Arabidopsis thaliana: one gene and its partner. The gene in region 1 interacts genetically with each later gene. Each region holds a gene or a part of one and is shown in the gene's direction. Other genes may lie near its edges.

Region 1 (15,182 bases):
CTTTTGTAAGTTGTCCAACTTTAAAAGTAATAACTAAAAACATACAAGAGTTTAACTTATTAATAATAGATAAACCGTATCAGTGTGTAGAAAGTAAAATTTCGTTTGAAAAAGATCCAACAGATTCATTAACACAAACAGTTTTGAAAGGCTCATTTAACATAACTTAATAAAAAAAGCATTAAATAAACCTAAAATAAAACTATACCAGAAAGTAAATAAATGTGCAGAAACTGTTAAATGGATCCTCATAACTTGTTTTTGTTTCAGTTATAAAAACTTCAGTATATAATAAACCCTAAATCCTTCTGTCGCTGAACCCAAAATTCAAGTAAACTATTTAGATTTTTGTTCTAATCATTTTTCTCAAGTTTGAAATGATTTTCTCTATATTTAGTCATTGTTATCGTTCCAATGCTGTGGATCGAGAGGAATCATCGACGATTGATCAGCGATTGCTGGCTCCTCAGTCAGGACGACGCACGAGTGAGGATTCCACACGTTGGCAACCGTCTTTATATCCCATCTCGGAGGACGTCGGGGAGAGTGATCGCTCAACGGCCAAGGTCTCAGTCGTACGTGGGAAATCAAAGACCAAAAAGTTGGTTTTATTCAGCTACAAAATCAAGAGAGCCTGGTTAGTCCTCACGTATATATTAGATGGTTTCCGTCTATCTTTTTATTATTTTCATAAATTTCATATTAGCTGGTTAGAAAAAATAATACATATGTTAGATGTCTTTCTATTAAAATTATAGACATTGTCTTTGCTGGATTTACTAAATATATTTTGTTGAATTTGTCTAACAGGAACATTGCAATGTCAACGAATTTAAGAGCCTCGCCGGGGTTGTCTCCTTGTCCGGTTATGTGTCGAACTGTATAATTTTCTTCCCTTATATATGCATTGCGAAAGAAAATTGCATATGATGTAAATTATTATTTTTCTAAATTTTCTTTCAAATCGTAAAAAAAGGAATTGGATATGCGATTATCCATTTTCATGTTGTTGAGCGTGTTTGAAGTTAAAAAGTTTAGTGACAGCAAAGTGCAAACTAAACAATAATTCTTGAAGTGGGTTTTACATAAACCATGAGTACTTGTTGGTTTATCTGTTTTAGATTCGACACAACAATATCTTGGTATCCTCTATGCGTGTTCAAAAAATATACCCTAAAAACAAATCGGTACGGAAAAGACCGTTGCTTTTTGTGTCTTCTATATTTCGAAACCTTCTTTTTTGTAATCTTATTACAGATGAGTCGATGACAAAACAAAACCATCAAAAACAGTAGCGGCTCATACTAATTTTTTAGTGGATTTAAAAAAGTACTTTTAACATTAAAACAATATTTAAATTTTGGTCCTCAAATTTAGTTAAAATATTTTTTTGGCCATACGCATTTGCTCCACTTACACTACTGAAGAACCGCCCCTGATCAAAATATATCAACATATTATTCGAACAAATTCACTACCTTCATGTTTAACCATTTCCATCAATAAGGGGAAAACATAAAGGAAATAGTGACGTGTTTTGACCACTTTTGAATATATTTTTCGTTATTTGGCAAAGTGAAAAAGAACTTTTTATAGCGTGGCAAAGTATACGAACCGAAAATTGTCGTCCTTAATGAAAAACAATGTTCTCCATATATACAATATATATATACTATAGTAATTTATCATGGTTATATATGTTCGAATTCAACATATACGTGCATCATATGTCACAATATTAGAAGATTAGATTTTTTTTTTTTTTTTTTAATTGATACATGTACGTACGAAAATAGATAATGTAGGTGGGAGATACATATCGCTATATCTATTTTATTTAATTTGGTTAGTTTTAATCTCTTATCTTTATATATTTATTTATTTTTGAATAAAATTTTGGTTAACATATACTAAGTTCCCTCCACCACATAAGTACAACCTGTATCATGCATATATAATAAAGAAAATACTACATTCCAAATTAAAACTTCCAATTTAAAATTTTGATATCAACAAATTCCCATTCACGAATCTTGACTCACATGTTCTCTATTGTTTCCCTGTTATTCTCATAACCTTTTTTACAATTACAGCTATTATTAATTGTAAAATTAATCATTTTTTGACATTTTAAGTTAATTACAAAATACAATATTAATGTGATATTAAATTTTAAATAGGTAATATTATTATTAGATTTACTACTATAAAAGATATAATTTTTTACAACTAACACCCGATATATGACCCCACAAAAAAAGAGAGTAATTACCTTTTATATATATTAAAGTGTGTATATATACACACACAAAAAAAGGAAAAGAAAAACCCAAATCTCTACACTGTCGAACTAATAATCACATTTTAAGTAGTCGAGTTTCAAATGATTTTTTCTCTATTCCGTCGATGTTGCCGTTCCACCTCCGCTGTGATTGACGAGCCATCGCTAGGCCATGACTCAAGTGTCTCAGGTGACTCAGTTCGCTCAGATGTCTCAGTTGACTCAGGTGTCTCAACTGACTCAGGTGACTCAGCAGCGCCTACACGGTGGAGTCCGTCTTTACCTCCGATATTGGAAGGTGACGAAACCGAGAGTGACCACCAAAACTCGAGAGTCTCACATGCTTGGTGGTTAAACAAATTACTGAAGAGATTCCGATGATTTCATGGTAGCAAAATGCTTTTTCTCTATCTTGAACTATTATTGAAATCTATTTCATTCTTTTGTCATATATACTTTGTTCATCATAATAGTATATTAATGATTTGTGTTTTGGTTGTTAGGTCGGAATCTTTAAGTGACAGATAGAGAGTATCGCCAGGATTCACTCTTGGTCCTCTTTACATATTGAAGTCTCTAGTTTTCTTCTCTTTAACAAAGCAAATTAGAATGGTGTTGTAATCGTATCGAGGACAGTGTTACAGCGACAAAACCATTTGTAATAAATTTAGATCTCTTTAAGATGTCTTTCTTTCTTCCAAAAAACAACATTGTGATTTTAGTCTTTGTTCTTGACCTAGTTCATGATATAAAAATCATCATCCCTTTTATCTGACCTTCACTCATGTTTAATCAACTTGAATCTTATGAGACCTACTACAATCACACAACTCTCCTCTTCTTAGAGCTTGCTGCAACAATGACTTCATCGAAGCTGATATAGAGTACCTACCGTACCTAAAGTGTTTCATTAAGTTGATCAAACTTGTGAGGCAATGAGATTTTGAGAGGATAGCTTGAACCTCTTTGGATATAGCTACACCAAGATTGCTAAGATGTTCTACCAATTTCAGAATAAATCATCAATGTTCACATCAATTATACAACTTTGATTTTTCCATCTCAAACGTATATATAGAATTTGAGTTGCATATAGATACGATCTTTACCTATACAATCTTGTTAAAGTAGACCACATCGAGGTTGCAATTAATGTTCTCCCGCAATATGTAATCACAAACAATAAAGATTATCAAGTTTTAAGTCTTCCTATATCACAAACTAACCTTTAAGGAGTCTTAAGTCAATTTATGTGTTTCACCAGATTCTACCTTTGTTTAGACATGGATTGTGTCTTTAGCATCCATTCATTCATCCATAGTTACAAATCACCTTTCCATCAAAATGATCCACTCCCATCCATAGTAGTATCCACCACCATTAAAATTGTAACATGGGGCTATGAATATGATAGCATTCTTCGATTCTTGCATCAATCTGGAACCTAAATCGAAGCATAAACTACACCAAATACAATCGTAAACAACCAGAACAAAGATCTAACAACTCATGCTCAAGAACATATATAGATTAATGATGGAGAAGATAGATAAGAGAAGTAGATGAACACAAGAAGTTATTAGTTAAGATCAATCGGTGTGATATTGATCCTACATCTCGGCGAGAGCGGGATTGAACAATTCATAAACTTAACTTCACAAGATCATGGAGAGCTCCATAAATCCGGAGGTTCACGAATCATGGCCAAAAAATCTATCGTACAAGATAACAACATGAACACGGCTCATAAAAAACCTTATCTCTATTAATCAGTAAAACCCTAATTTTCAGCCAATTCCGGTTCAGTTAGTCTTCGGTTTAACATTTTTTCTTCGGTTTAATATTTAAACAAAAAAAATACAAATTCGGTTTAATGTCACACAACCATTACTAAACCGCGTGATTCGAAGCACAACTTAACAATTAGAAATTAGAATATTCATTTTTTTCAAAAACAAATTTGGATTATTGCATTATTGTTTGGATAAAACCACGATGATGTTCACATGACAAAATGATGTTTAGTGAACGAGACGCCAACCGCTTTATATGAACTGTTTTAGTTCGGAGATTTTGCGAGTTCCGACTATGGGTTAGAACTAAAATTTTCCCATATTGTCAAATGATGTTGTTATAAATAATATATTCTCTACATAATTACTGTGGAATTAAGGAACATAAATTTGATTCTTTAACAGAGAAGTGAAGATATTGGCCATGCTTGGTTGGGTTGTATTATGCCCTACTTTTCTTCCCCCCCAACACAAAGAATCCAACCATGTTTAACCAAACCAAATAAATATATAAAAAGCAACTATAAATTATTCACTTGAAGAAATGTTAATTAACAAATCGATAATTTTTATTTAAAGCGAATTCGCCATTCCATGACCATATGGACAAAAAGAAGCTTTATTGGGCCAAAGTACCCACATGCATATCCCACAGCTAATCTTTTTTATTTTTGACATATCCCAGCTAATCATATTCCATGTTTCTTCTATCCTTTTTTTTTAAAAAATTGATTATATTCCCATGATAATCATTTCAATTGTTTTACCTAATCCTATATTTGTTCGGAGTTTCTACTAGAATTTCTATCTACATCAACATCAAATTGTAATAGCTTTATGTCTTTGCTAAAGCACATTACCTATGTAGCAAACAATCGTATTAAATATAAACGAAAATATAGCTTTATGTCTTTTCACTAAAATCAACAATACTAATCCAAATCGGAGATTTGCTTTCGGTAAACATTTTTGTTCGACTTTTTATCTAGAATATTATAAAGTAAGAAATTTTGTGAATAAGTTACTAAAATGAATTCATTACAAAAGTAGATAAAGTATAAACTATCATGATAATTTAGAAGTAAAAGGATTATTTTTTTGTGAATAGTAATTTTAGATAAATAAATTATATATCTACTAAAGAGTAAATAAAAATATCAATACAATTATTTAATTTTTAAGGGCAATACAATTATTTATCATTTTGATTCATAATTAAAAAAAATTGTCGACAAACAAAAAAGCTTCATAATTTTAAATTTAGCATATATTAAGAGATATTTCATAAGAGACACTAATGTCTTTCTAATTTTCATGTTAACTTGGATGTTTTAAATATCAATCAAAAAGGTTATAATTGAGCCTCACCAAAAAAAAAAAGGGGTTATAATTGATCTGATTCGATCAATTATCCAGTGTAATTATATATTGCAATCTAGTTAATGATATAACGTTATAGGTCTCATTTCCTACATTCAACTAAAAGGTAAGCTAAAAAATCTAAAAGATACAAATATCCAACAGGAGAAATATCTTTTTCTCTCATTGTCTATATTTGTTGTTCTTCTATCTCTTTCTCTCTCTTTTTCTTCCACACCCTCACAACTTTACTTACGACTTTATTATATATATACCACCAACCCATTTTGTCATAAAAGATCATTACTCGTTAAGACTTTCCACTACCCATTCTCATTCTCTCTTCAACTAATATTCTTCCCCGGCCCTCATAAAGAAGCTTCTCCTGTTCTTTATTCACATTTTCCAAAATTGTATCTTCTTAAAGTATCTCCAACAAAACTAAATCCTACTAAGTTAAGAGATTTGAAAATGACAAAGATAGGAGGTATTCTTGTTTGTCTAGTCATTGTGGGCTTAGATGTAGCTGCTGCAATCCTCGGAATCCAAGCTGAAGTCGCCCAAAATCAGGTAAAATAAATGTTCTCTTTCAAATTAATAAATGTTGTTTCCCTAATTTATGATGCTAAAATTGGTAATGATGGTTGCATAACATACATACTGTCTCAAACTTAGAAATTTTCTCAAAAAAAAAAAAAAAAACATTAGGAACCTGAATTAATAGATTTTTTTTTAACAAATGAAACCATCGATTTCCTCTATTGTAGGTGAAGCACATGAGGCTTTGGTTATTTGAGTGCAGAGAGCCGAGCCAGGACGCGTTCAGGCTCGGTCTAGGTGCAGCCGCGATATTGGTAATGGCTCATGTCCTACTTAACTTGGTCGGAGGCTGTCTTTGTATTTGCTCTCAAGACGAGTTTCAAAGATCTTCTTCCACTAGACAAATCTCCATGGCTTGTCTTGTCCTCACTTGGTACGTTAATACAAAATCTTCTTGGCATTAATAATTGTTGGTCCAAGTAAAATGACATGATTGGCTGGTGTAATCACAGGATCGTATTCGCTGTTGGATTTGGGAGTATAGTGATTGGGACGATGTCGAACAGTAAGTCAAGATCCTCTTGTGGATTCACACATCACCATTTTCTCTCCATTGGAGGGATTTTGTGTTTTCTTCATGCCCTCTTCTGTGTTGCTTATTACGTTTCTGCCACTGCGGCCAAAGATGAAGCTAAGTGACAAAGTGTCACGGTTAATGATGGAACAGGTAGGTCCTTGTTCTTGACTATATTTATGTATAATCATATAACCTAGTTTCAATTTATTTCTTCTTATGAATCGTTTCACTTATTTCGAAGTCACTTTTGTAATTTTGAAAGCTGTGTCATTTTGAAAAATATGGAAAAGCTTTTATGTCACGCTCTGTTGTCGCATGTGGGGTTAAAATGCACTAGTGATAATGACATTCGGTGGAATCTTGTCTTTGCTTCGGGTCTTTAAATTAATTCAATTGTCTCTCGTTCTCTCTTTTTCACACACACACCTATGTGAATCCTTGTCACGGGAAACTTGAAATCTGTAGAACTGATTTCTAGGAAAATAGAATAATTTTTATAGAAGAGAGTATCAAATGGCACTATGAAGTAGAGAATTGCACAAACATTTTTTACTACCAGAAGAAGATCTGGTCTGAAATCCGACCAAAAAGGAGTTTGTATGAAAACTGATTTTTCTGTTGTTTAACTTCAAAATGTCTACAGTTGTCATATCCTGTAATCAGAAAACTAATGGTTCAAATTTATATCATTAGGATGAATTATTTACTTTTATATATTTATCTCAAATCTTTACATATTTACTTCAGAAATCTTATACGTTTATAGAATTTCCCCTTAGCATATTCTCTAGGACTTCTTTCTCAAAAATGTGCTTCGCAATAGAGACAGTACACTCTCAAAGGGTCTAATACTCATGTCTGTCTCGTCCAGCCATGGAAATGGATCAAATGGTTCTGTTTCTTCCATAAACATCTCCAAGGATTCATCGTTTCTCGATCTTTCCAACGGAAGCAGCTCGTGATTATACCTTTCAGGCTCTGAACAATACTCCTGAATCATGAAAAGCACACACAACTTCAGAAAAATGTTAAATGATCTTGGAGCAAATACACATCTCGAAGAGGGCTCTTTTTGATTGCTTACTTGGTTCGCATGCATTCGTTTCAAGAACATTTTAAACGTTGAGAAATTTGGTTCATTGAGAAGTTTATCAGACAGTCTGAGATATGTGAACCCAAACATCCTCGGTTTACCATCTTGGTTAACTCCATTAGGCCTTGCGTTTAGTATGATCTGGTTATATCCATTTCTATCGAATCTTGGAAGCGCGTTTTCGCCCGCAACTTCAATCCCTTCTCTCCATCCAGAGCTCAAAACCTTCAAATTTTAACCATTACCAAAATCAATTCAAGTAACGAATATACAAAAGTGTGGTATTTACAGATTCAACTTGCTTACTTGTTGAACAAGTTCTTGAGGTCCACTCTTAGCTTTTGCTGGTTGCTCTGTGTTTTTCATCTCTAGACAAGTGAAATTCAAGATAGCGTGATGTCTACGCATTATTTTCGCAATCGCACGATAACCATCTCTGTTTTTGAGATTGTAATAACCCGCCGTAAGTTCTGCAGCATGACTTTCAGTTTTGTACCACCAATGGATTCCAGAGACCTAAAAATTTGAGAAAACAAATTAAGAAAACTATAAATCTTAATCATGTTTAGAATTCATCCCAAAGGAAAATCCTACAAATATTTGATTTACTTTTGCTGCTATCTTGAGTTTACACCCGAGAAATACTTTATTAGCTTCATCAAGAATCTGATCACCATGGAGAAGTAACTTTTTGGAGTACCATGACAAGAAGAAATTTCCTTCTTCCTTAAGGTAAGTCCCATTCGAGTACTCGAAAAACTCTGTTTCTCCTGGAACACTGTTGTATTCGCCTGCGTTTTCCGGAAGTTTCCACTCTGGATGCCCGATTCTTCTAACTTCTTCTTCATAGTCTGATCTTAGATACTTGTCATAACACTGGGATTGAAAAAGTCATACAAAATAAACTTAAAAAGCTCTGTTTTTTGTTTTTTCAAAGCCTAAGAAATTAAGAGTCTTATTTCCTTTTTCTTACTTGAAATTCCCCAATTCCTGGAAAAACCCATCCTTGAGTCTCACTGTAAGAAGGATATCTAAGCTCTCCAGCAGGACCAAGCCCTACTTCAATGTCTATTATAACTCCAGAGCTTATGAAATCTTCCATGTTCTCTCTAAAGCTCTTCATGTAGTCTCTATACATCTAGAAACAGAGCAACGATTATATCAATATATAAACGCAATTTTTTCCGAGTTACGTTCTAAGATCAAGAGTTTTTCATACCTCAACAGCTGTTCGTCCTCTGAAGAGAGACAAGTTATCTACAGAGAGAGACAAACACTCTTTGTTTCTATTACCACTCTTGTTCGTATAGAAGATATCCGGATTCGAATCCCCGATTTCGAGTACCCATTTCGGTATCGGGATGTTGACATCGTCTCCTATGTTGCCTCCACATCTATGAAACGACATTATAGCTTGTAACTTTAGTCCAAAGCTTTGTACGATCGCAAACAAGTTTCTATAAGCACTCCATTGATATTGCTTTGGACCTTTTGATTCAACGATTCCCCACCATACGTCAACCATCACTCCATCTACTTGACTTTGTTTCAGTTTCTTGAGCTGTTTCTTGAGACTCTCTTCGTTTTCAAGAACGTTATCGTTCGTGATGACTCCAAGCTGAAGCATGACGTAGACAGGAACATAGTTGGTCAACATTTTGTCTTCATACGTCGTCGTATTGAACTCTGTCGCCTGTGTTTTCAAGATTAATGATTCAAAAACACAAAACCAGAGAGTTAACAGAAAAAAAAGCTCAAAGATTGTTGTTACTACTAACCTTTGGTTCTGTTGCAGAAGAAGCAGTGGCTTGATGCGTTCTTAGAGATCCCTCCTTGATTGATAATCTCCATTGGACTCGTTTTTTAGTTTCTTTATCTTGTACAAAAATTGAAGATCCTTTGTGGAGATTTCTTCCGTTGATCAGATTAGGGTTCATCATTCCTAATACGCTTGTCATGGTACCTTGCACTTGACGGAACTACAAAAATCATTTACTGGAATCATTATGATCATACACACACAAAAATAATTTTTTCAGTGAAATTAATTAAATTTGCTAATTTTCTGGCGCGTTCGTATGCTATCAACAAAACGTGGCCATAATTTTCTTGCCCAATTTTTTTTTTTTTTTTTTTGTATTTTTGTTTAGTCACGTTTTTATTCCTTGTTTTGTAGTTTCACGGAAAATAGAAGAATGAATTATCATATAACCAATAAATATCTATGTGATACTAGGATAGTGGGGTATGCAACATTCGATCAGTGTCCATGAAGGTTCTCCAGTTACTAATGAAAAATGTATGCTCCTGAGACAACTCATCGTGCCTTGATAAATAATCAATTCCATGGACAGTGGTCGATATAAGATCCTCTGATTTCTAAGAAAGACCAGACCTCTGATTACATATCACCGACAACTTCTGCTTCTTTCCATTTAAGATATCTTATGATTTCTAAGAAAGACCAGACCTCTGATAGGACTGAATCTTTCAAATACAAAGTCATACGGAATTTTCATGTGACTAGTGGCGGCTACATGAGACGACTTCTCATCCGGATTATGAGGCTGAGGTGAGGAGAAGAAAAATACTTCATCGTTGTTTTTGCAGGCAAACAAGAGCTGTGGGCGAGCCAAAGATCTGGTCAAGAACATCACGGTAAAATAGGGATGGCCAAGTATGGAAGCCCATAGCTTTGATAACATCTCGCTATAAATTTTTTTTTTTTTTGAAAATAATATTAAATTATATTTAAAGAAAAACATAGCGTTTGTACAACTAGTGCATCGAATAGTAGAAAATTTTAGCAGAAAATTAGAAACTTTTACACTTAGATCCTTGTTTCAAACCAAACTTGTAATCCGTTATCATAGCGTTTATCGCCTAGAAGTCGGATTGTGGAAAACGGTTTCGGATTTGTTTGTTAATCCACTCGATGATCCAAGAAACTGTGTGTGGAGCTTTCCCATGTCGTCGCCTATTTCTCCACCATTAAGTGAGGTCCTTGGTCGCATATTGCATAGGCATGCAAGACGATCCTCCAATGATAAATCCTAGGGCTTTGCGGCTTCGGCTCTGCTCTTCCACGATTTCAACTTATTTTTAGAAAAAGTTGATCTCAAGTAGAGAAACCGAATGACGTGAAGGGCTGAGAGGAAGCCCATGTAGGACAAAATCAGTCTCGTTTATGTTCGGTCGGGCTTTTTCACCAATCTGGTTGACCACTATCGAGTCATTGGTACCGTAACAACAAAGAAGTAATACGTCTGCACAATATGCATTATCTAATCCGTCGACCAAAACAAAATGGTGTTGGCATTGACTTTTTTTTCTTAACGTCATGGTGTTTGCATTAACTTATCTTTTTTTTCCCTTCACGTAGAAATTTTCAAATGGTACTTCACTTAAGAATTTTAGTTTTTTTTTTTAAACATGTCTTTCTTTTTAGAAAAATCAACTCGGCCTAACCCCGACGCACAAGAAGTTTATTATCAAAACTACGAACAACTCGATAAATCTAGACAATAAAATATTCATCATGAACCTATTAGGAAAAACCGAATTCAAACTATTTTTCTTTTGTACCTTTCTTACTTTATATGTGAAATATTTTAGCTTTTTATCAAATTAACAAACGTAAACAAATTAAGTGAAAATGATTATAATAAATTAATAATGTTCTACTATTGTCAAATACGAAATCTTATGTAATTGTCTTCCATTTTTGGATGATTTTTCAACTTTACATGAACAAAATCTAGTACTATATTAAGATTTAAGAGATTTGCTTTGATAAGACAAAAGAATTGTTAAAGTCAATTAACTTGCATAAGCCGTTGACCAAAACAAAAACATTTGTTTTCTTAACCAAAAAAAAAAAAAAAAAACTCTTTCGATTTGTTTATCCCTCTGTCTCGCTTTCATTGATTATTGTCTTTGCTATTAATCTAATCATCACAACGTTTCTCTTTTCATCTAAAATCGTTTCTCTCCATTAAGACTTTTATTGATTGTTCCTTTTCTGGGTTTTGCCTTCCAAGTCTTCCTTAATTCTTCTTACAACGTAAATACTCATCTCGTGAATTGTTCATAGGAGGAAACTCAATGCAATGTACACTTTGACGTTTAGGGAAAAAATTGAAGACGTTTTTTTTTTTTGTTAATGCGAGTTTTTCGCTAAAATACAAAAGAGGGTTTTAATTGAATCTTTCTCAGCCGCTTCAATAAAGCCATCGACTTTTTTTTTTGTGATTCAGATTGAATCTTTTGATGGGTTTACTTTATTTTTATTTTCTTTGGTATCAATTGGGTTTAACATCATCTCGATGCGATTGTTCATGTTGAGCAGTGTTGACGCCTTCTTCAGAGTAGCAGCAAGCTATTGGTGAAGAAAGTTTCCTGTTTTGGAAGGTACTCATTTGTCTTTCTTCGTTGTAAAGTCTTTCACTTTCGTGGTTGGTTATTAGACACTAGTTTTAGTTGAATTTCGTAAGAGTTAGGTTTTAAGCTATGTCAGTTGTTTTGCGATTGGTTTCAGAACAAAACTAGAGACAGAGAAAGTTTTTGTCTTTGGCATCTATGTTTGGGGGTGTCTTGTCTATGCCTGTCAATAATCCTCACTTGCGCAAATCTGGAAGTAGACACATCGTCACTAATCTCGGTTAGTTTTTGTTTTTATAATAAATCTTGGCTACTAGAAAAATCAGTTTCTGCTTAGTGATTTTGATTACATTTTTTCTGGATGGTTTGTGGTGTTGGACAGGAGATAATGACTTGAAGACTGCAAGTATGCTTCTGAGTACTTATGCGAAATTGCAAACTCCTATATTCCTTCGAAGTCTCAAGGTTTTGTTCATTTACTCAAAGTTCTTAGATTCTCGCTGATTGTTCCATACTATCAAATTTTTCTTCCTGCTTTATATCATCTAACTAGCTGATTTGAGATTCGCTATCTTGATTCTCCAGGTTGCTCTGTATATTGGTGGTCTTTATGTTTGTGGAAAGGTTAAAATTTGAACTCTTATTCTTGCAAACAATGATCTTAGATTTTGATTTGAAGCCATTGTTTGAGTTTTCAGTCTTGGTAATATACAACAATGTTTAAAATTTGCAGGTTGGATTGGAATCTGTAATGAAAATGGGCGTAGAGACAAGAGAACTGTTCTTTTATGAGACATTTCTGTATTATAACCCTCTCCTTCTCATTGTAAGTTACTTTTCTGCTCTCAAATTAGTAAAGTCAAATTGCTTCAAGTGTGTTTCCTCATGTATGCTATTTTGTTCAGACGCTGATGGTCTGGCTCTGGGGTGTTAATTTGTGGGTTTTTTCTCGGTCTGGAGTAGATTATGCAGCAATCTTTTATCTAGGATCAGATCATCTTAGTCACAGAGAGATATGGAAGGTAAACAACTCTTAGTTAGATCATTTGTATATATTTTGATTACATCTATGTAACCGATGTCACAGTGTGCCAGGTGGATGACAATAATTATATTGACTAGCATGACTGCCTATCTGTATCTATACTCGCACGGAGATGTAAAGTTGGCTGCATCTCAACCAGTGTAATAGATGCATCTTCTCTTAAAGTTGTTTCAAAGAGATTTTGATTCATTTTTTCATAAGAGTGACCTTTTCGGATGTTTCCAGGTGGTTTTGTATTTCTCAGCTGTGATTATTCTGATAATCCCTTTCAATATCTTCTACATGTCGTCTCGCTACTATTTGCTTTGGACTTTTTGGCGAATACTCTTCCCTGTGCATGTAAAGGAATACTATTGTTTTTTTTTTCTATTGAAGATTCACTTACATCATCTAACTATCCTTTCGTGTATCACAAACAGGCAGTGACTTTTTCAGACTTCTTTCTAGCTGATATCCTGACTTCAATGTCAAAGGTAACACAATTGTTTGTCTTTCCTATATATATGTATAATGCAATTGTTGAACAACAACAAATATATTTTGCAGGTTTTGTCGGATTTAGAACGTTCAGTATGTCGTATGGTCCATCGACAGGTCAGTAAGTTTTCTTCTTCTTTACGGTTAAATTATGCATAACAAATGCTCAGTGTATCTGATAAATTCGTTGTAGGTGGCTACTGTTGCATGGTTTGAAGCTGATTCGGTTTGCGGGAGTCATTCTGCTGCAATTCCCTTGGTTCTTGTTCTACCTTATCTTTTCCGGCTGTTCCAATGCATTCGTCAGTACAAAGATAGCAAGGACATTGCAAACATCTACAATGGTAATAACCCCAAATCCAAGAGATTCTTTTGTGTTTGGCTTTCTGCTAGATTTCTAACATCTCTCCCTTGTCTTTGTTTTTCAGCTGGGAAGTATTTAACAGCGGTGCCTGTCATCTTTCTCTCAGCCCTCAAGTATTATATCGATCCAGATACATGGACTTACTCCATACAGCCGGCATGGATCCTCTCTGGTCTAGCTAACACTTTCTTCTCCTTCTTTTGGGATATATTACGCGATTGGGATCTAAGGTACTGTGAATGTAAAACAGATTACTCCAATCTTGGATTCAGTGTGATATTTAGATTTCTTACCTCTTTGTTGCTTGTAGTGTCTTCACTCGGATTTTCAAATTCACCAGACCAAATCTTTTCTCCCATCTACTATATGGACGCCGTTGGGTAATATATAGTTTCATTTTTTCATTAAATCTTCAACGACAGTAGCCAAATGTGTCTGAACAATCTTGGATTTTGTGGTTTTGCAGGTATATGTTTGGGTAATCGGAAGCAATCTGGTACTAAGGTGGACATGGACATATAAGTTATCTGCTCATCTCCGTAACAACTACATAACGGTCTTCATCATCACTGCCTTGGAGATTTACAGGCGATTCCAATGGGCGTTTTTCCGTATAGAGAACGTGTGGTATAAAATCAACAATCCCAAGCATACTGCTCATCAATCTAATCCTCTTTCACTCCAACATGATATCGACAGTGAACATGAGAAATTACTCGCGCATAGTCACAGCCCCGGTGTATAAAAATCTCAATGTTCTTGTTGTTTTGTGCTAAGTTCTGAAAAGTTTTGAATAACAACACATACAAAGTACTCTGTTACTTATACTGTAACTTGTAACTTCCATTACAGAGAGAGAGACTACACTGGCTCTATAATGTACATGAAGATGTGTAATTGTGTAATTTCTCTTGTATTAATATTAACTTCACCTGTTCTTGTAAGAGATAAACTATAAAGCATTAAAGGAACTTGCTTTAGGTGCAACTAAACTGGTTTTGGACAAGTGTAGCAACATGAACATTGTCTGGTTTTATAGTGGATTAGGTAAAACCAAAAAAAGAAAAGCTTACTTGATCCAACATACATACTAACTCTCAACAGATACAAACACAAGTTTATTATTTACCAACTCTTATCTCAAAAGATTCTTCTCAATAATTTATCCTCCTTTGACCCCTATATAGACACACATTTGACACCATATGTCATGCACAAAACATCATCATCTCTTGATCTATCTTTCAGTTCTCTTGTCAATTTTCCCCCAAAA
Region 2 (16,084 bases), on another chromosome or scaffold:
CACTGGGTGGTGTCCAGACATCCAATTCATAAGCCTCTTATTGATAACCATCTTGCAGGATGCTCATGAAGCAGAAATTCAGTCATTGAGCTTTAGCTTTCCTGTACTGACAAACGTTGATTCTGAAAATGCCTCAAGCTTGCTTGCTTCTGGTGGAAAGGGCCGCGCAATTCACATTTATGATGTCAAAAGGTGTAAAAACAAAACCTCTGTTATGGTCTTTTGATTTCCATGGCAAGGCCATACAAACTTATATTTTCTCATTGTCAGGAACTTTGATCCCGTTGGGAGTGTTTGTGGTTCAGCTGCTGTAACTTCTGTTAAATTCGCATGCAATGGCCGGAAAATGTTAACTTCTGGTGCAGATAGGTAATGTTTTATATGCTGCAAGACCTCGAAACTTGCAAATTTACTTTGGAGAAATTTATGACATAATTGTTGATATTGTCGCAGGTTGCAGATGTTTGACGTTAACAGAAAAGCAAGTAGTGTGCGTCTTTCACCTTCTCATACTCAAACTCTCTCTCATGGAACGATCTATGATGTGGCTGTAGATCCAACATCAGGACTTGTTGTCACAGTGGGACAGGTATTGTTACCTTTCGGTGAACATTAATATATTACCACCTTATCTCGAGCATATTGAGTCAATTAATCGTACACCTACCATCAGATTAAACAAGAAGTCTGATGCTTTATCTCATGATCCCAGGATAAGAAGATAAACATATTTGACATAGAAAGTGGAAAGCTTGTCAGATCATTCAAGCAAGACCGAGACCATGGAGATCCCGTAAAGGTGCATTGAACAAACTGTTTGGTTAGACTTCAACATTGTTTGATGTTCTAGTGCTGACAATATGATCTCTTCCACAGGTCATTTTGGACCCAAGCTGCAACTACTTGGTATGCTCCTACTCTAACAGGACAATTTGCTTTGTGGACTTTGTCACCGGAGAGCTGGTTGCTCAGGCCACAGGACATGGTGAAGCTGTGACTGGTGTTATTTTCCTACCTGATTGCAAACATATCATATCAGTAAGTTTCTGAATTGTAGTTTTCTGTTACTTACAACTGTAAGAACCATGACTTTTGGATGATTTCAAGATCAATGTCTCATTCTTATTGAATTGAATCACCGTAAAAGAGCTTTCTCTGCTCAAAAGCCTGGATCTATCTTTCTTGTATGCCTCAAATGAAAACGAAAAAGTGAGATAAAACTTTGCTTTTAACTTTTCTTTGGTGTTTATTGTCAGGTTGCAAGTGACGGCTGTATTTTTGTCTGGAAACTTCCTTTGCGAATGGCTACTCGTATTATACGGGCAGTAAATGAAAATGGCAGGTTAACTGTGGCCCAACTGGAAAAGTTCAAGCAAATTGCGGTTGATTTGGAGGAAGACAATCCAAATGATGCATCATGTTCTGCAAACTATAAGCCAGTAGAGGAGAACGCAGATCAGATGCAGCAACGCTCCCCATGGACATCCTCATTTAAGTTCAGCGTTTCTCGGCTTCCTAAATGGGCTCAAGCTAAAGTGGAAACATCTGATATTGCTACCAATTGTCAAGATTCCATTTCAAACCAGGTACAACCCCAAAAAAGTTGCCTGCTTTCTGATTTTAGGAATCAGGATAGAGTGTATCTTTATGAAATGCTTTGTGAGACCCAAAATTTCAGCTAAGGCTTTTAGTTCTTCTGATATTGGGCATCTTTATTGCCTCCACAACAGAAACATGAAGATAAAAGTATGGCAAATACTATTGACAATGCTGAAGAATGCTCTTCTGTGAATCTTGAATACCAAACTCCCAAGCAAGGTTCAAGAACCGAAAATGCATGCCTTGGAAGCCTGTCCAAAAGCTCCAACGATACTGAAACTTCAGGGCTTCAAGGAGATGATCCTAGGTAAGAAGCTCTAGCTTGTTTCTGGTCATTACTGCAATTCTTCTCTCTATCTCTCTGCCTGCTTTTATGAGAACCACATTGATTGTTTTTATTTTGCTTCTCAACAGCAATAGGAAAGAAAAAACCCGTTGGAACACTATCTACAACGTGTGTTTGGATCTTCTAAATACTCCAAACATCCAAGCATCTTTCATTAAACAACAGAAACCTGAAAATTTCTGCACCAAACATTCTGCCGGGCAGGGGGACATGTTCAAACAGTTTGATAACAGTTTGTCAATAATAGACAATGTAAGATCTCTCTTCCCTATTTGCTTCGACATGTTTTAGGTTGCCAATAGAAATCTTGATGGCCAAATATGTTTACTTTAACCATAGGTCGAGGCCGAAAAATCATCGCAGCAAAGAAGATATTCGTCTCAGTTTGTCCTAAGAAGAGACTACATTGGCGGAACTAAACAATTTACGCGTACACCCTCCCAAAAATCAGGGTACAAGACTTTGAGGTCGATCCAAGAACATATCCCTCTTGATACGGTGAATGATCAATCTTCACATAGTTCAGAAGAACATCCTGAGCAGGTTTCACCACGTCATATTTTGTATATATCTACTCACTTATACATTACACAGCACAGATTTATTATACAGACACACTTACATATTACTAGGCTTAAAATCACTCATAGATGCATAAAATCTCCAGAAATGGTGCTAAGTGCCAACATTATGTTCGTATATATGTAACTAAATAAACAGGTTTCATCATTGGTTTTGCTATGTCACAGGACAAGACGTCTTCAGAAGTATTCCACGATACACTTGCAGACGAGTCACTTCAAGAAAGGATAACTTCTTGCCGTCAAGCGTTACACGGTTTAAACACTGCTGCTGCGGTTTTCGTCCAGTCAATATCGGAATTATCTACAGCTTCTCCTCGGGATCAAATCTCAGGTGAACTTAGAGCTCAGTTGTTTGATGAAGCAGCTTTAATGATTCCAGATGTGTCTCATAAAGTTAGCGAAATTGTTGCCAAGATAATGCTTGAGCACAAAAATAGAACTAGTGATAGAATGTTGTCCAATTAGTTCAAGTAGAAAGATTATACAAATAAACTCTGTACAGTTATCAGTTACTTCACCTTACAAATTCAATAATAATGAATTGTTTTGTTGCTCTTCCTGATTTGTCTTACATTGACTGGTTTGTGTTTATATTTTTATTGCACCAACCATTTTTTTCTGATAAAGTTACTTATAGGGAACTCTTAAAGTAATTTCTTTATAGTATTATTAAACTTGTTTGATCTTGTAATTTTCAAGATCGAATCTGTCATCTACAAAAAAAAACGGATCCACCAAAGTAGTGTTAAAGATATGTCCGTAGTGTTTCAACTATGCCTTTTCGTATGTCTCTTCCTTTGAGAACTAACTAGTAACTACTACTAGCTGCTGATTTTCATGGCAAGAATAGACTTTTTTTTTGGGTTAGGTAATAGACTTTTTTTTTTTTTTTTGGACTTGTTTTGTGATAGTTATTTATCTACAAGTTACATAAAATATACGATAATGGTGTGCAAAAGAAAACATATATACGATGATATTCTTTTCTTTTTGTTCAAAATATATGCTTGTGATCCACTCTCAAAAGGAAACATAAGCAAATATTCATGTGTATAAAGTTAGTTAATGGTTTTAAAAAATGATCAAGTAGTAAAATCGTTTGAATCTAAAGTCATTTTTTACTAAATATGCAAATCGGTAACTCTACATTTATGCCAAGTAAAAACTAATCATCTAAGAAATCTCTACTATTTCACAAAAGAAAATTAGTAATAAAGCAAATCCTAGAAATTTGTCCTGTTTTGAGTGCTTTTTTGTCTTGCTTTAGTAACATGCTAAAAAAAAAACAGCTCCCTCCTTTATTGGGATTCCTCATTCTTATAAAATTTTAAATTCTAACAACAAATCTCAAAGTAGATGTTTAGCTTCCTCCTCTTCTTATGTCTCTTTTTCATCTCTTCCATCTGTCATTAGTTCACCTAATCTCATACAAAGTTGTCTTACAATATTTACATTACCATATAATTATAAATAAATAAAATTCATATGAAATAGCATTGTGTAACATATTTGTTTTAATCCTGACCGTACCATATGATACACTCTATTAATATATCACATGTTTAATACAATGGCACAACCATTTATACGGATGTGTACATAACAAAGATATACATGGACACTTATTAGTTAGAGTATCTGAGTAAGAAAGGAACTAAAGAGACTTTCATAAATGTGAATAGAATGAGATACAGAAGCATGTTGGGTCCAAAATAGAGGCTTTTTATGTAAAATAATAAATCTTTTCCGATTTTAAAAATAAGAAAAAGAAAGAGAAAAATTATTAGTTGGGTTGTTTTTTCTTCTTGATAAATTGGGAAAAACGAAAAGCCTTTGATTTCTATGAGTTGTCGAATGTTGTGGGCCAAAAAGGTTCATATTTGATTGTCCTTTTCCAACTCATAATTTCTCTTGTAATGATTATACCTCTCTCTTTTTTTCTTTACCTTTAATCCAATGTGTTTCATAAATCAAATAAAACACTATAATACAAATTATAGACTAATGGAATAATATCAAAATATTTGTTATACTTTGTTAAAATACTTTTATAATTTGTTATACTTTTGTTTAACACTTTGGAAACCTTTTACCATACTAATAATATTATTAGCACCAAAATGTTCTTTCATGTTTTCCTTCATTTTATTGATACCACATAATGGAGGAAATTTACAATCATGATCTTTTAAAATTCATGATTAAATTACACAGTCCAAAGATAATATATTATAATATATAGCGGTGAAATAATTATTATGTTTTTTTAAAAAAGATTGCAGTATTATTACTAACCGGTTTACTGTCCAATGTTCATAAAACCGGCTTTAACTTATTATGCGTTGCAATTAAATTGGCTTTGTTAGAAATTTGACTCCGTTAAACAGAATTACAAGCATTTATGTTCTCTATTGTTTATATCTCTAAATTCAGTATTTTACTAAAATATAGTAGAGAATAATTTTTTTGGCAATAAAAATAAAAAACGTTAAAGTGAAAGTGAATTACTAATAAATCACCATTATTATTAATAAAGACACCTATATTAATGGCATTGATTGCGTGAGGTTTAAGGTGGGATACGAGGCAACAATGACAATGAGCGTCAGTCCGTCACGCACACACGACCAAAAAATTATTTAAACGCAAAAAAAGAAGAAGAAGATATACTTACAATTTGACCACTAAAAAAAAAACGACATGCTTACGAATTAACTACGAAAGTTACCTTTAATACAAAAAGACATAGAAATACACACATACTGTACAATAAATAGATAATGAACCAATGATGAATTATACTTACGTGGGAACGAGTTAGTTTACTTGGGAGATTCTTACCCACACGTCCGATAATATATATATACACACGAATACACATCCTTTCTATATATCAATCTGCTCAAGATTACTTAAAAAAAAAAAAAAAAAAAAAAGGAAGAAGTGAAGAATGTAATCGAATAATTAAAAGGGTATATGCACTAGATGACCATAAAATCCATAATATTATATAAACTAACCATAGGCGTATAGTACTTGTCGGAAACCAACTTTAAATTACTCTAATATTTCTATAATAGGATTTTGGTTGAGGGGGACAAATAGCTTTATAGGCAAATAGTTTTACCACTAAAGCTTTCATAACCTCCTCTTCCCTTACAACAATAACCACCACTAGATCCGTAACACCACCGCCTCCTCCGTATTTAGTATTATTAGATCTGTAAACACTACCGCCTCCGTATTCACCACCATATCCATAACACCACCGCCTCTTCCGTATTCATCACCACCGCCGTTTACTTTTGTTGACATGTATTTTTATTCTAAAACATTGTATTTTTCAAAGTTTCTTTTAAATAATACTTGTTCTTTACTAAAATTACAATGATCCGTATGTCTCAATTCAAACGATAGCATGTAATTTTTGAATACTTCATGCTATTTTTCTATTTTTCTATTTGATATGTATATTTTCCTAAAACGTTTATATTTTTTGATAAGATAATATTTTTTTAAAGATAATGTGCATTTTACAAATAATCTATGTTTTTTTACTAAAATCACAAGTAAGTTAGTGATTCATGATTTATGTTTTTTTTTATAATCACATGCAAATTTGTACAATCACATGTAATCTATAAATAACACATATGTGGTTTGCTTATCTCTGTTGAAACCCATTTACCATATTGTCAAAACAATAAACCTACATTTTAATGTAATAAAAATAAATAGCATGTCCTTAAATATCTTATGCAATATTTCTATACTCAATCACAACTGTTTCTAAATGGCTATCTTTTAACTAAGTTTTCTTTTACGTATACATTTTTAAGGTATAAGAGATATTGCGTGTGATTTTAATAAGTAGTGGTCTAATATTGCATGATTTTTTAAGAAGTAGCGGTGTAATCATTATTTCGTATTATCTTTTGTTTCCTACATGTAGCAGCTATTGTCGGAAAGAAAGAGTTTATCTCATTTATAAAGGGTAAAATAGTTATTTCGAAGGATAAAAAAATGTTATTTACCCAACTTTTCTGCACGAAGGCTATTTTATTAATAATGCTGTCAAATTTGGTCATCCTCTAATATTACCTTAATTAAAATACGATAGTAAATTATATCTTACGATGGTTACTAGAATGTTAGTACAGTATGTTGTAGTTTATACGAAAGAACAAAATGATTCACCAAACGAGCGGCGTTTAGGTGAAGGACAATATTTGTTTCCCATGCTAGAGACATTCGGAGACCCGTACGTACTATAGTTCCTAAATCATATTAATAGCAAATATATATATTTGAATATCTAAATTGAATATTATTCTGTGGGGAAAACAGAAAGAAAAGAAAAGCCAAGACAAATTTGATCAGATAAAGGAATAAAACTAAAGTTAAAGTTATATAGAATGCATATCACAACAAAAAAAGAAAGCATACAAATAATACAGTCTTTGATAACGAAAACTTGATCAATGTTTTCTCGTGTTTTTTCTTGACTATAACCTCTCTTCTTCTTGCAAACAGTATAACTTTAAAAATGAATTTTGAAAGTACTTGATTTTTGTTATGAATTATTCGTCTTAATTTTAAACCTCTGTTTTTCGTCTTAATGTTAGAATATCGAGAAGATTAGTTTGGAGAAATGTATGAATATATAACACAGAAAAACAAAAGAGAGAAAAAGAAAAAGGAAAGAAGAGAGAAAGCGAAAGGAGAGAGTGTCATAGAGACAAGAAATTAGGAGTGTGATGGCGTGATTTGCTTTTCCTTTTTTTTTTGGGTCCGAATCTTTTTAATTCCAAAGTATCTCTTTTTAAAATTTCTTTAAATTAAAAACAAATACTAGTAAATTCTTAGTTGTTACTGTGGTTAAAGCGGGTAAATTCCATAGTTGACGCCTGTTGCTATGATTGATGCGATAATTGACATGATTATTACGGTAGCACTGTAAGAAATGCACAAGATGCAGCACTATCAAAATACTACTAGTATTAACTAATCAATTAATATCGTTGAAATAATTTGTTTGTAACTTTAAACGGACTTTATTAGATCAACAAAATCATCATGTACTAAATAACACACGCACCCCATACTTATCGTTGAATCACGATAGAGTTATTGTTTTAGATTAAAATGAAGCATGTGTTGTTGCTTTTTGAAAATTTTGTCAAAAGTAGTGTGAAAATTTTGATTTTTTAGTTAAAATTGCTTTTGACAAAGCAGGGAAAAAAATCCACTTTGCCACCGACCCAACAAGTAACGGGTTTATATTAGCATTACATGAGACAAAAATCGACAGAACATAAGGTCAATTTAGACATATCATATTTCTCCAATTAATTTGCATGTTAACAAAAAAAAAATGTAACTGACAAAGAAAATAAAAAGCAAAATATTGAAGTGGACAAAGGTTTAATATGTTTTATGTTAGATATAGTACATAAAAATAAGATTTGGCTTATATCATATGAATAAATCTGAACAAAATTTCTAGATAACCGTACATTAACACGCTAAAACCATATCCTAAAACTTTTGTTTATTTGAAAACACTAATTTGGTTTTTCTATAATAATTCTTTTGTTTTGTTTTTTTCTTGTTCATCTCCTTTCTCTTTCAATTACCGTTGGAACAAGACGAAGTTTCAGAGACAACACTACCCAATCTCTCTCTCTAACCTTAAGTGTTGTCTTTCTCTCTATAAGCCAGAGACCAGACAGTGATGACGATATAGTATATGAGACCAGAGGGAGGATTAACCACCATTTCCCGTCATGAATCCAGCTACTGACCCAGTCTCCGCCGCCGCAGCTGCTCTTGCTCCGCCTCCACAACCTCCGCAGCCTCACCGTCTCTCTACCTCTTGCAACCGTCACCCAGAAGAGCGGTTCACCGGTTTTTGCCCTTCTTGTCTCTGTGAACGTCTCTCAGTCTTAGATCAGACCAACAATGGCGGTTCCTCTTCTTCCTCTAAAAAGCCTCCGACCATCTCTGCTGCGGCTCTCAAGGCTCTCTTTAAGCCTTCCGGAAACAACGGAGTGGGCGGTGTAAATACAAACGGAAACGGCCGGGTTAAACCCGGATTCTTCCCGGAGCTCCGTCGTACGAAATCTTTCTCAGCATCCAAGAACAACGAAGGATTCTCCGGCGTGTTTGAGCCACAACGTAGGTCTTGTGACGTCAGGCTTCGAAGCTCTCTTTGGAACTTGTTTAGCCAAGATGAGCAACGAAACCTTCCAAGCAATGTCACCGGCGGTGAGATTGATGTCGAGCCGAGGAAATCAAGCGTTGCGGAGCCTGTTCTAGAGGTAAACGATGAAGGAGAAGCTGAAAGTGACGACGAAGAACTTGAAGAGGAGGAGGAGGAAGACTACGTTGAAGCTGGCGACTTTGAGATTCTCAATGATTCCGGCGAACTAATGAGGGAAAAAAGCGACGAGATTGTTGAAGTTAGAGAGGAGATTGAAGAAGCGGTGAAACCAACAAAGGGTTTAAGCGAAGAGGAGTTAAAGCCAATAAAGGATTACATAGATCTTGATTCTCAAACCAAGAAGCCATCGGTACGACGGAGTTTTTGGTCGGCGGCCTCTGTTTTCAGCAAGAAGCTTCAGAAATGGAGGCAGAATCAAAAGATGAAGAAGCGGCGTAACGGCGGCGACCATCGGCCAGGATCAGCTAGATTACCGGTGGAGAAACCGATTGGGAGACAGCTCCGGGATACTCAATCGGAGATTGCTGATTACGGATATGGTCGGAGGTCGTGCGATACCGACCCTCGATTCTCTCTAGACGCCGGAAGATTCTCTCTTGACGCCGGTAGATTCTCCGTTGACATCGGTAGGATCTCGCTTGATGATCCTCGTTATTCGTTTGACGAGCCGAGAGCTTCTTGGGACGGGTCTTTGATTGGACGGACAATGTTTCCTCCCGCCGCGAGAGCTCCTCCGCCGCCGTCAATGCTCTCGGTGGTGGAGGATGCGCCGCCGCCGGTGCACCGTCACGTAACCCGAGCGGATATGCAGTTTCCGGTGGAAGAACCGGCGCCACCACCACCGGTGGTTAACCAAACCAACGGTGTGTCAGACCCGGTTATCATACCCGGCGGATCAATCCAAACCCGAGACTACTATACTGACTCATCGTCAAGGAGGCGGAAAAGTCTCGACAGGTCTAGTAGCTCCATGAGGAAAACGGCTGCAGCCGTTGTGGCGGATATGGACGAGCCAAAGCTTTCAGTGTCGTCGGCTATATCAATTGACGCTTACTCAGGATCACTGAGAGATAACAACAACTACGCCGTGGAGACGGCAGATAACGGATCTTTCCGGGAACCGGCGATGATGATCGGCGATAGGAAAGTGAATAGTAACGATAATAACAAGAAGTCGAGACGGTGGGGGAAGTGGAGCATTTTAGGACTTATTTACAGGAAGAGTGTTAACAAGTATGAGGAAGAGGAGGAGGAGGAAGAGGATAGGTATAGGAGATTAAACGGTGGAATGGTGGAGAGATCGTTATCGGAGTCATGGCCGGAGCTGAGGAATGGAGGAGGAGGAGGAGGAGGGCCGAGGATGGTGAGGAGTAATAGCAATGTGAGCTGGAGGAGTTCCGGAGGTGGATCAGCGAGGAAAGTCAACGGATTGGATAGGAGGAATAAGAGTTCAAGGTACTCACCTAAGAATGGGGAAAACGGAATGTTGAAGTTTTACTTGCCACATATGAAAGCTAGTCGGAGAATGAGCGGTACAGGAGGAGCAGGAGGTGGCGGCGGCGGAGGGTGGGCGAATAGTCACGGGCATTCTATAGCGAGGAGTGTAATGAGGCTGTATTGATCAACAAAATTGTTCATTGGATGGTTTAATTAGCTCTATGAAGCTGAACCTTTGTTTTTAGTATTTCGTTGGTTTAGGTTTAATTTCGGTTCAATTGGTTTACTTTGTAATGTTAAGGAGGGGATGCATTCTCAAACGAATCACTTGTTGTCGTTGTCTATTTTAACCGGAATAAACCGCCATTCGACCAGCTATATTTTTGGTTCCAGGCTTCCCAATCAACACCTAAATTTTTTCCAATGATTAACCAAATTTTGATTAGTTAATTTTCATTGGAACAAATAAATTGAATAGTCTGATAATTTTGTTAGTTAACCTAAATTAAAATTTTAAAATCGAAAGAGATTGTTGACTAACTATAATCAACAAAGAGTTTATTACTTCACTTCTAATTAAAGGCAAAAAGCCCAAAACATGCCGGAGAAATAACGTTCACCAAAAACTCTCACATGGTCGTGTTCCCAAAGTCGCTGTCACCCAAACACGTCCTTAAGCTCTTGAAATCGGAGAAGAACCCGCGTGCGGCTTTTGCTCTATTCGATTCGGCGACTCGCCATCCAGGCTATGCACACTCCGCCGTCGTTTACCACCATATCCTCCGACGTCTCTCGGAGACGCGGATGGTTAATCATGTAAGTCGAATCGTCGAGCTTATTAGGTCACAAGAATGTAAATGCGACGAAGATGTCGCTTTATCGGTTATCAAAACCTACGGAAAGAACTCCATGCCTGATCAAGCTCTAGATGTTTTCAAACGAATGCGAGAGATTTTCGGGTGCGAGCCTGCGATTCGATCTTATAACACTCTACTTAATGCGTTCGTGGAGGCGAAACAATGGGTTAAAGTCGAGTCCTTGTTCGCCTACTTCGAGACTGCTGGAGTGGCGCCAAATCTGCAGACGTATAATGTTTTGATTAAAATGTCTTGTAAGAAGAAGGAGTTCGAGAAAGCGAGAGGGTTTCTAGATTGGATGTGGAAAGAGGGGTTTAAGCCTGATGTGTTTAGTTACAGCACTGTGATCAACGATCTTGCTAAAGCTGGGAAATTGGATGATGCACTGGAACTGTTCGATGAAATGTCTGAAAGAGGAGTGGCACCTGATGTCACGTGTTATAATATCTTAATTGATGGGTTTCTTAAGGAAAAAGATCACAAGACGGCTATGGAACTGTGGGACAGACTGTTGGAGGACTCTTCTGTTTATCCGAATGTTAAGACTCACAACATCATGATTAGTGGTTTGAGCAAATGCGGAAGAGTAGATGATTGTTTAAAGATATGGGAGAGAATGAAACAAAATGAGCGTGAAAAAGATTTATATACATATAGCAGTTTGATACATGGGCTGTGCGATGCAGGTAATGTTGATAAGGCTGAAAGTGTGTTTAATGAGTTGGACGAAAGGAAAGCCTCGATTGATGTGGTTACATACAATACTATGCTTGGTGGGTTTTGCCGTTGTGGGAAAATTAAGGAGAGTTTGGAGTTGTGGAGAATCATGGAGCACAAGAATTCAGTTAACATAGTGAGTTATAACATTTTGATTAAAGGGTTGTTGGAGAATGGGAAGATCGATGAAGCAACAATGATTTGGAGGCTTATGCCTGCCAAGGGCTATGCAGCTGACAAAACTACTTACGGTATTTTTATTCACGGGTTATGTGTGAATGGTTATGTGAATAAAGCCTTGGGGGTGATGCAAGAGGTGGAGAGCAGTGGTGGGCATCTGGATGTTTATGCATATGCGTCAATTATAGACTGTTTGTGCAAAAAGAAAAGATTAGAAGAAGCGTCAAATTTGGTAAAAGAGATGAGTAAGCATGGCGTGGAGCTAAATTCTCATGTCTGTAATGCATTAATAGGTGGTTTAATCCGAGACTCAAGACTTGGTGAGGCTTCCTTTTTTCTGAGAGAGATGGGGAAGAACGGTTGTCGCCCGACTGTTGTATCCTACAACATTCTTATTTGCGGTTTGTGTAAAGCAGGGAAATTTGGTGAAGCATCTGCTTTTGTGAAAGAAATGCTTGAAAACGGATGGAAACCAGATCTGAAAACTTATAGTATACTCTTATGTGGTCTTTGCCGCGACAGGAAGATCGATTTGGCCCTTGAATTGTGGCACCAATTTCTTCAATCGGGACTCGAAACCGATGTGATGATGCATAACATACTAATTCATGGTCTGTGCTCTGTTGGGAAACTTGATGATGCAATGACTGTCATGGCAAATATGGAGCATCGGAATTGCACTGCAAATCTTGTAACCTACAACACCTTGATGGAAGGATTCTTCAAAGTTGGAGATAGCAACAGAGCCACAGTGATTTGGGGTTACATGTACAAGATGGGGTTGCAACCTGATATTATATCCTACAATACTATAATGAAAGGGTTGTGTATGTGCCGCGGAGTGTCGTATGCTATGGAATTCTTTGATGATGCTAGAAACCATGGCATTTTTCCAACTGTTTACACCTGGAACATACTTGTTCGAGCTGTCGTGAATCGCTAATGTGATGAATATTAAAGGAAACCTTAATCTGTTGCATATTGCTGTATAACTCTCTAGGGTTCAGTTTGACCCTGGATGATCTCTGGGCCAGCTCAGCTAGCTTTGCGTGATAAGGTACAATGCTCTGACCCTGAATCTTTGTTTTGGAGGTTGAATTGTATGTCTCGGTGCTTGGAAGTGACAGGAGGTAAACTGCAGTAAGTCGATAAGAATCAAGTTAGCTATATCATCTGATGAACTAGTATTATACATACATACATACATCAAAAGCATTTGGGTGATACACATTAGTTTGAATGATTCGAGTAAACATCATCGAGATCTGATATTTGATGATGCAAAAGAAAAGCTGTAGCTTGACGCATCAAACCTAAAGTGATAAGTTTCACACTTTGGGTCTATGCCATCAAGTTATATTCATCTCTTTCGATTAATACAGAGTTTGTCGGCTTCTATCGTTCATTCCTTCTTGTTTTCCTTTCCCTTATCTGCTTCTGATAATAATGTCTGCTCGTATACGAATTGAGTGAGCAGTGGGACAAGGATAGCTCCAAGAATTGCGACTTTTCTCCAATCCGGTGAAGAAACGAAGGAATCAGCAATTGCGAGAACCACAATCCCAATTAACCCGAGGTAAATATTCCTTCTTGACTTTGATCCTGCACTTTCTTTGGTAACCTCTTGTATTTTCTCAGTTTCCTCTCTAGCTTGCTCTCTATCCACTGGTTTTTTGTCACGTAAGCTTTTAAAGAACAATCCTTCATTCCTGTCTACTTGAATCTTCTCCTCAAACTCAGCCAACTTATTATCGTTCTCCTCGATCTCTAATCTGTTCAATCCCGCAGATTCCTCAAAAGCTTGCATCTTGCTTTCGATATTCTCCAGTATCTGCTCAATCACCCGGAAAGAAAAACAATATCAGCTTATCTATCGTTCTGTTCCTGCAATATCATCGAGCAAATCACAATATCTGAAAGCTTCTGAGTTCACTTGATCTAGAGAGTAAAGACAATTCATAAGGATCAAACTGCATCAGAGAATTAAGGTAAGCCATTGAAACAAGACATTCTACTGTTCTAAAACTGTATTGTGCACAGGTTAAGACTATTTCCATATGATACGAGATTTCAAAATGTTATCGTTTTCAACTGATACATACCCTTGTGCTAGCTTCGTCAAGGTCTTTCATGGCGTCTTCTCCAACCTTGTCAAACTCCGCATTGGCTTCTTCAGCAAACTTGGTGAGATACTCTGATCTCTCGTCCAAGAAATCCGTCAAACGGACCTTCGATGTCTGAATCATGGCGATCCTAGCTAAGAGTTCTTGCCTGCGAGTATCGCCTTCGGGTTTTGGAGGGTCGGGATCAGAATCAGAATCTGAAGTTCCGTCTCCCGATTTGGAGAGACAGAGAAATTGGGGTCGGGAAAGAGAATGTCTCGAGGCATTGAAAAGAACATGAAAGTTTGGTGTTAAGGTTGTCTGAAATGCATGAAGTGTGTTCATCATCTTCTATGTTTTCTTCAACGAAGAAGAAGAAGGCTCGTTTCAGAGTAACCCACCTCTCGTTTTTTAATTTAGTTTACGCATTATCCAAAACCAGTTTTGAGTTTTAAAGTATTTGCATAAAAGACCCTATATTTGAGACATTATTATAGATTGGCTCTAATATTTCTTAATTACATTAAAGTCATACTTCCACACATAAATTTCTTTATAAATTGGCCATATTCAAAGTTTTGAGCTTATAGGTTTGCTATATTTAAATTCACACTTACACAGAATAATTTCTTCATCGAACCTCTAATTATGTGTTGTAAATGACCAGAGAACCTCTAATTCACACTACATACGAGTCCTAATCCGAGTCAACAACCGGCGGGTTTACGGGTCAACCCGAAAAGGTTGATTCTTCTCATTTTTTTCCGCTAAAAAGTATAATTTTTTTGAAACAGCTTTTCGAATTTCTTTACTCACGACGACCCTGTTCGTTTGGATGCTTTTTGTTTCTCATGGTTTATAGAGGAATTGAGACCTCTGTTCTAGCTCCGGCAAGGTTCCTTTTTTGTCGGACTGCAGTCTCAATCATGTATTTCCGAGTTCTCTTGACGCCGTCCTCGGCCATGTTTGATTCTTTCTCCTTTGTACGTCGTTTGAGTTATTCCCCGGATTTGGGTCGTCGAATCTATGGACATGTTTTGCCCAGCCATGATCAGATACATCAACGTCTCCTAGAAATCTGTTTGGGGCAATGCAAATTATTCAAGAGTCGCAAAGTGTTCGACGAAATGCCTCAAAGACTTGCACTAGCCTTGAGAATTGGCAAAGCTGTCCATTCCAAAAGCTTGATACTTGGAATAGATTCAGAAGGTAGATTAGGTAACGCCATTGTGGATTTATATGCCAAGTGTGCACAAGTTTCTTATGCTGAGAAGCAATTCGACTTCCTTGAAAAAGATGTAACGGCGTGGAACTCAATGCTATCGATGTATTCCAGCATTGGGAAACCAGGAAAGGTCTTAAGGAGTTTTGTATCATTGTTTGAGAATCAGATTTTTCCAAATAAATTCACTTTTTCGATTGTTTTATCAACCTGTGCCAGGGAGACTAATGTAGAGTTTGGTAGACAAATTCATTGCAGTATGATTAAAATGGGGCTAGAACGCAACTCGTATTGTGGAGGGGCTTTAGTTGATATGTATGCCAAGTGTGACCGTATTAGTGATGCTCGACGAGTTTTTGAATGGATAGTGGATCCTAATACAGTTTGCTGGACGTGTTTGTTTTCTGGCTATGTGAAGGCTGGTTTGCCAGAGGAAGCTGTCTTAGTATTTGAAAGGATGCGGGATGAAGGCCATCGGCCTGATCATTTAGCTTTTGTGACTGTTATAAATACGTACATCAGGTTGGGGAAGCTAAAGGATGCACGTCTGTTGTTTGGGGAGATGTCAAGCCCAGATGTGGTAGCGTGGAATGTAATGATTTCAGGGCATGGGAAAAGAGGATGTGAGACTGTGGCTATTGAATATTTTTTCAATATGCGGAAATCTAGTGTTAAATCCACCCGTTCTACCTTAGGAAGCGTTTTGAGTGCTATTGGGATTGTAGCTAATCTTGATTTAGGTTTGGTAGTTCATGCAGAGGCTATTAAACTAGGTCTCGCTTCCAATATTTATGTCGGCAGTTCTTTGGTTAGCATG

The links.
Region 2: of AT2G32280 (region 1) and OPS, changing one enhances a phenotype caused by changing the other (phenotypic enhancement), as found in Arabidopsis thaliana (one study listed by BioGRID).

Annotation. Positions count from the first base shown.
Region 1 is NC_003071.7:13,707,306-13,722,487, forward strand, and holds AT2G32280 (GPI inositol-deacylase C, putative (DUF1218)), read left to right. Parts: upstream 1-5,660; 5' UTR 5,661-5,904; coding exon 5,905-6,003; intron 6,004-6,200; coding exon 6,201-6,406; intron 6,407-6,485; coding exon 6,486-6,672; 3' UTR 6,673-6,700; exon of another isoform or gene 6,701-7,194; intron 7,195-7,210; exon of another isoform or gene 7,211-7,337; coding exon of another isoform or gene 7,338-7,541; 3' UTR 7,542-7,634; coding exon of another isoform or gene 7,635-7,868; 3' UTR 7,869-7,903; downstream 7,904-15,182. Other genes in the region: AT2G32275 (uncharacterized protein), read left to right, coding at 2,384-2,662; BAM6 (beta-amylase 6), read right to left, coding at 7,338-7,541, 7,635-7,868, 7,950-8,159, 8,253-8,519, 8,617-8,781, 8,863-9,336, 9,422-9,601; AT2G32295 (EXS (ERD1/XPR1/SYG1) family protein), read left to right, coding at 12,222-12,303, 12,406-12,488, 12,609-12,647, 12,757-12,849, 12,929-13,045, 13,111-13,206, 13,294-13,407, 13,488-13,541 and 5 more; UCC1 (uclacyanin 1), read left to right, coding at 15,115-15,182. UniProt on the Arabidopsis thaliana protein: Required, together with OPS, for embryo provasculature development and cotyledon vascular complexity and connectivity.
Region 2 is NC_003074.8:2,763,169-2,779,252, reverse strand, and holds OPS (LOW protein: UPF0503-like protein, putative (DUF740)), read left to right. Parts: upstream 1-7,877; 5' UTR 7,878-8,315; coding exon 8,316-10,373; 3' UTR 10,374-10,612; downstream 10,613-16,084. Other genes in the region: AT3G09080 (Transducin/WD40 repeat-like superfamily protein), read left to right, coding at 59-192, 271-369, 454-589, 713-799, 877-1,038, 1,257-1,586, 1,731-1,906, 2,014-2,197 and 2 more; AT3G09060 (Pentatricopeptide repeat (PPR) superfamily protein), read left to right, coding at 10,823-12,886; AT3G09055 (uncharacterized protein), read left to right, coding at 14,074-14,184; AT3G09050 (8-amino-7-oxononanoate synthase), read right to left, coding at 13,346-13,774, 14,046-14,393; AT3G09040 (Pentatricopeptide repeat (PPR) superfamily protein), read left to right, coding at 14,897-16,084. UniProt on the Arabidopsis thaliana protein: Potentiates primary root protophloem differentiation. Required, together with VCC, for embryo provasculature development and cotyledon vascular complexity and connectivity. Regulates roots architecture.